2 linked regions of the Kluyveromyces lactis genome follow. The protein of the gene in region 1 purifies or fractionates together with the protein of each later gene. This does not show direct contact. Links are inferred from orthologs where the notes say so. Each region holds a gene or a part of one and is shown in the gene's direction. Other genes may lie near its edges.

Region 1 (3,357 bases):
CCCTATCTGCAGCCAGAAACAAACATGTATTGTGATAAACCCGATACTCTTTGCTATTCAAAGAGAACCTTTTTTCCTTTTATACTATTTGAAACCATTTTTTTTCAAGTTTTCACCATTACATTACTATTATGCATATTTGTATTTATATACTGGTATTATATGACATTGACTTGCCTTATCCATGGACTGTCACTTCTGATAGCACTTCCCATTCTTCTACAGGACCTTCACATCTGACCACTTTGAAAGTCAACGGGAAAGACCATCCTTTGAGAGTGTGTTGTAATTTATACGCGTCTTGGTCCCTGCTATGCGACTCTATTTCTTCTGTAGTTACATCAAATAAGTCTTCAATTCTCTGCCTTATCAACCGTATCATTGCTTGGTCCATCGGATAGATATCTGAGTAGGCTAGCGAAAGATGTGGATGGAATTCCTCAAATAACCAGGTATCAATGTTCAATTCTCCGACGAACATCGATCTTATCAACTTCGCGAGACTGTACAACATAGGGTTTGGTTTGCACTCCAATCTGCATTTCTCAAAGTACTTCTTGCCAATATTGAAACCATCAAACTCGACAAGCGCATTCTCACTATCTACTTTAGATTTTACTGCATTTATAGCATGATGAGCCATCTCAAGTACCTTATGCACTTCCTCCATGTTCTCACATGAGAGACCACTACACACAGTAACATGGGGCTCAAATACAGGAGAATTCGGGAATAAAGTTTGTAATGACTCTATCAGAGTTTTAAAAGTCTCATATTCAGGACTGTGTCCATATGGACATAACCATAGAGATATACCCATTCTTCCCTAATTGAGCACAAGCAGGATAATATAGGGATAGTTTAGCCGAGTAAGGTCACTAAGTATTCCCTGACAGCAACAAAAGAAATTGACAAGTTTAGCTTATAAGTATGTCAATCTTCAACCTTTGAATAGTGAAAGTACCCTTGAATACTGTCCTGTTCAAAGTTCTTGTCCCTATATGTAATGATAAGTTCATCATTATCGAAAGAGCGTTTTTTTTTTTTTTTTGAATGTAAAGAAGTTGACATTAGAAAACAACAAAATATCGCCGGTTTCATCACTCCCACAAGTAGAAGAAGAGCGAAAAAACTGGGTTATAACAGTTGAGAAGCACATTCAGGCCAGGAAACCAGCTTCAAGAGGATGGCATCCACTTTACAGGTTTCGTCACGAAAGTGTAAGAACTGTGGTTCGACGGATTTTGTCCGTGATATTAGTAATACTACTAATGAATTGATCTGTAAAGTATGTGGTTTAGTCACTGAAGAGAACTCTATCGTGTCTGAAGTCACGTTCGGTGAGGCTAGTAATGGTGCAGCTGTCATTCAGGGTGCTTTTGTCAGTGCGAATCAGGCACATCCAACGTTTATGTCACATTCCGGTCAGAATGCTTTGATGTCCAGAGAAACTACTTTGAACAACGCTAGGCGGAAGTTGAAAGCTGTCTCCTATGCGTTAAATATTCCCGAATATGTTACTGATGCTGCTTTCCAATGGTATAGATTGGCTTTGAGTAATAATTTTGTTCAAGGTAGGAAATCACAAAATGTGATTGCCGCTTGTTTGTACATCGCATGTCGTAAAGAACGTACTCATCACATGCTTATTGACTTTTCATCAAGGTTACAAGTGAGTGTTTATTCTATTGGTGCCACATTTTTGAAGCTAGCGAAGAAGTTACAAATAGTTAAGTTACCTCTAGCTGACCCATCTTTGTTCATTCAACATTTCGCGGAGAAATTGGAGCTTGGTGATAAAAAGATTAAAGTGATAAGGGACGCTGTGAAACTGGCACAAACTATGTCCAGAGATTGGATGTATGAAGGGAGAAGACCAGCTGGTATCGCAGGTGCATGTCTCTTACTTGCCTGTAGAATGAACAATTTGAGAAGAACGCATTCTGAAATCGTGGCAATATCTCATGTTGCAGAGGAAACGCTTCAGCAAAGATTGAATGAGTTTAAGAATACAACATCAGCTAAGCTCTCCGTGAAAGAGTTCCGTGATGATGAAACTGAGGTAAATGAGGGTGAGAGAAGTGCCGAATCGAAACCTCCTAGTTTCGATAAGAACAGACTAAAGGAAAAGAAAATAAAAGATTCTTTGGATACTAAAGAGATGTTGGAGACAAGCGAGGAAGCCGTGTCAAGAAATCCAATTTTGACTCAAGTGCTCGGAGCGCAGGAACTATCGTCTAAAGAAGTCCTTTATTATTTGAAGAAGCTTTCTGAACGCAGAAAAGCTGAATTCAGTCGTATAAAAGCTACGCATGGAATCGATGGAGAAGACTTACACAAAACTGAGAAAGACAAGAAACGTTCCCTGGATGAAATTGATGGATATAGTCTTGAAAAGGATCCATATAGACCAAGAAATTTACATTTATTACCCACCACAGCTTCTCTGCTTTCAAAAGTCAGCGATCATCCTGAAAATTTGGATGATGTTGATGATGCAGAATTGGATTCTCACTTGTTAGATGAAGAAGCTTCCAAATTGAAAGAACGTATTTGGATTGATATCAACGGTGATTACTTGATTGAACAAGAATCAAAAAGACTCAAACAGGAAGCAGATTTGGCCAGTGGGAATACTTCGCTACGAAAAAAACGCAGCAAACGTACTAATAGAAACCAATCCAGTGCAAGCATCGTCAAAGTTCAAGTCGACGGACTACCGCTTGATGTTTCCGTGGATGACGCTGATGCTGTAGATGTTGTCGCAGCTGGAGGTGTCAAGAATCTATTACAAAAGACGACTTTCTCAAAGAAGATCAATTACGATGCTATTAACGGTCTCTTTGGACAAAAATAGTTTCTACGTCGTCACTGTTTCTCTTCTCTTGTACGATATCCATCAGATCAAACTCAAGAAAATTATATGAATACCAACTGCTATTTACATATCGTTACTTGATACAGATGTCTGTTTTTGCTCTTTTTTATTTTAATATTTTACACTAAATTGGTGTATCAATTTCATTTCGATTATATTTTTGGAACTATATTTAAACGGCGTACATAATTTATAAACATTGCAAACAAATATTCGTTTGGTGTGGACTATTATTCATTTATGGAACACAATAATAAGCTACCATCAGTATACCATTTTGCCTATTCAGATATTAAAGAGCCTTAAACCCACTTTTTGCCTCTGGTTTCTTCTTTCCGTACCGTGAGTGAAAAGAAATTTTTTAGAAGGAAGAAAATTTTGAGATGAGATGCGATGAGATAGAACCTATGTATGAACAAAGTATATCACTCCGAGACAACTAAAGTTGCCTAACACTATTCGAACTTGTGCAAATCAAC
Region 2 (2,417 bases), on another chromosome or scaffold:
ATTATGTTTGGTAAAGTTCAAGCGATTGCCAAGGCTGCCGGTGGTCAAGGTATTATTTCCTCATTCTATTTGCAAAGTGATGATCTTGATGAAATTGATATCGAATGGACTGGTACTGATACTACTCAAGTTCAATCCAATTTCTTCTCCAAGGGTGAAACTACTACATTTGACCGTGGTGCTTTCCATTCGGTGGACGATCCTCAAGGTTCTTACCACAATTATACCATTGATTGGACTAAGGATGAAATCAATATCTATGTCGACAGTGCACTGGTAAGGACTATCACCAGTGACAATGGTCAAGGATACCCAGAGTCTCCAATGCGTATTTTCACAGGTATTTGGGCTGGTGGTGATTCCCAAAACGAGCCCGGAACCATTGAATGGGCAGGTGGTTTGACCGATTATACCAAAGCTCCATTCAGCATGTATTTGAAAGACGTTATCGTTGTTGATTACTCCACTGGTACAGAATACTCATACTCAGGCACCGATGGTACTTGGGAATCTATTGAAGCTAATGATGGTGAGGTGTATGGTAGATATGATCAAGGAGTAGCAGATTTCGATAAGTTAGCTTCTGGTGGAAGCGTATCAGACGACACTTCATCTTCATCCTCCTCATCCTCCACATCTTCATCTTCAACCAAGACAAGTGCATCTCCATCTACATCCAAATCTTCATCCACTTCCTCATCCTCATCTTCATCCTCATCCTCATCCGCATCATCATCATCCTCATCCTTATCCTCATCCTCCCCCACTACGACTTCTAAATCTAGTACCACAATTCCAACTACTTCCACTGAAAGCACCTTGAACACAACTAGTGCTTCATCTACCAGTGCTTCATCATCCAGTATTACTGCATTGAACACAACATCTTCCTCCACTTCCCTATCATCTTCTTCAACTCAGTTGAATACAACTGAATCTCTAATAACTTCCACGGAAGAACTTGTGACCACAGGTTTCTCATCTTTGGTCACTACCACCGCTGCTGACGAAGAGATCACATCGTATGCCACTGGCGAGACAAGCTCATCAGCTGCTTTAACATCCACACAGTCAGAAAACGCTGCTGCTTTCAATTTACCGCAATTGCTTGCTATCATTCCAGCACTTCTACTTCTCTAATAAATAGTCATTTTGTAATATAAACTAACCTCGTTGAATTTTAATAGGTGCATCTTAATCGCTATGGTACCAGCATCAGCCATGCAACTGGTATGCACAAAGCAGGATACGTATACCCTGAGCACTTGTTTCGTTCATCTAAATCATGATACACGGGATTATTTTTCACCGCTTCGAATATATTGAAAGCCATGCAAAGAGAAGAGATGAGCTGAGTTGAGATCAAAGAGTAGCAAGTAATAAAGACTGTATCGGCCTATACTGAATTATCCAAGTAAAAAGCTTCTCATATAACAAAATTCCAAGAAAATGCGCGTGCTTGAGGAAAAAAACGCTTTTATGAGCGACTACGAAACTTTGCAGTTCCTCATATCATTACAGAATCAACACCGATGGACCTCTGGATCAAAATCAGACAGGAAACACAACAAACCATACTACCATCCAGAACTGCAAACGATAACCAGAGACACGGTAAGGTACATAACACAGCGTTCCACTACAGCAGAAGACCCAGAAGAACCAGAAACGTCGGACAAGACCGTACCCAATAACGCCAACAAATCCACACTGCTGAACCTAACTACAGACCAATTCTCAACACTAATGCAAGAATTAAATGCTTTCCCACTATACAAAGCAGAAAAACTACAAATAGTGAACCAATTACCAACAAACTTGGTCCATTTGTATAGCATAGTCGAAGAGTGCGAATCAAGACTTGACGAAGGTCAGGTGACCTCGCTTCTCGAATGCATCTCCCGCACGTGCCTCTAATTATTATACACCATAATACAATATCTATAATGTTTAAATGCTTGGAGAAAAAAATCACATATAACAGACCGAAATACAATGAGAAAAAAGATCAGGAACATGAGTTTCAATGTTTCCAAGTGACAGTATAAGGGAAAAAAGGGATACCCTAGAATAAAGTAGTTATCAGGGCTTCTGAGTGGGTTAGACTTGCATCAGGACCTTTGAAATAGCTGATACTGATAACGATGGTAAAATTTGGTGAACATTTGAAGCGATCTTTGATTCGTGAGTACAGTTATTACTATATCAGTTACAATGACTTGAAGACGGAGTTACAGGAATCCTTGGAAGCTAACAACGGAAAATGGAACGAGGATTTGGAGACTCAGTTTTTGGAGTCCTTGGAAATTGAATTGGATAAAGTGTACACTTTTTGCAAAGTGAAGCATAACGAGGTAGTGCGTCGTATCAAGCAAGCCCAGGAACAAGTTTCTGTCGCTGTGCGTTCTTTGGATACA

Evidence for each region. The genes of interacting proteins can lie anywhere in the genome.
Region 2: the proteins of BRF1 (region 1) and RPC17 purify together in Saccharomyces cerevisiae (affinity purification with mass spectrometry; 3 studies listed by BioGRID, with this or other methods). This does not show direct contact. The link is inferred for Kluyveromyces lactis from reciprocal best matches to the Saccharomyces cerevisiae genes BRF1 and RPC17.

The regions. Positions count from the first base shown.
Region 1 is NC_006037.1:496,688-500,044, forward strand, and holds BRF1 (transcription factor TFIIIB subunit BRF1), read left to right. Parts: upstream 1-1,186; coding exon 1,187-2,857; downstream 2,858-3,357. Other genes in the region: CPD1 (2',3'-cyclic-nucleotide 3'-phosphodiesterase), read right to left, coding at 179-820. UniProt on the Saccharomyces cerevisiae protein: General activator of RNA polymerase III transcription. Interacts with TBP. Binds to Pol III subunit C34 and to the TAU135 component of TFIIIC.
Region 2 is NC_006042.1:2,114,253-2,116,669, reverse strand, and holds RPC17 (DNA-directed RNA polymerase III subunit RPC17), read left to right. Parts: upstream 1-1,449; coding exon 1,450-1,917; downstream 1,918-2,417. Other genes in the region: CRH1 (transglycosylase), read left to right, coding at 1-1,140; VTC4 (Vtc4p), read left to right, coding at 2,145-2,417. UniProt on the Saccharomyces cerevisiae protein: DNA-dependent RNA polymerase catalyzes the transcription of DNA into RNA using the four ribonucleoside triphosphates as substrates. Specific peripheric component of RNA polymerase III which synthesizes small RNAs, such as 5S rRNA and tRNAs.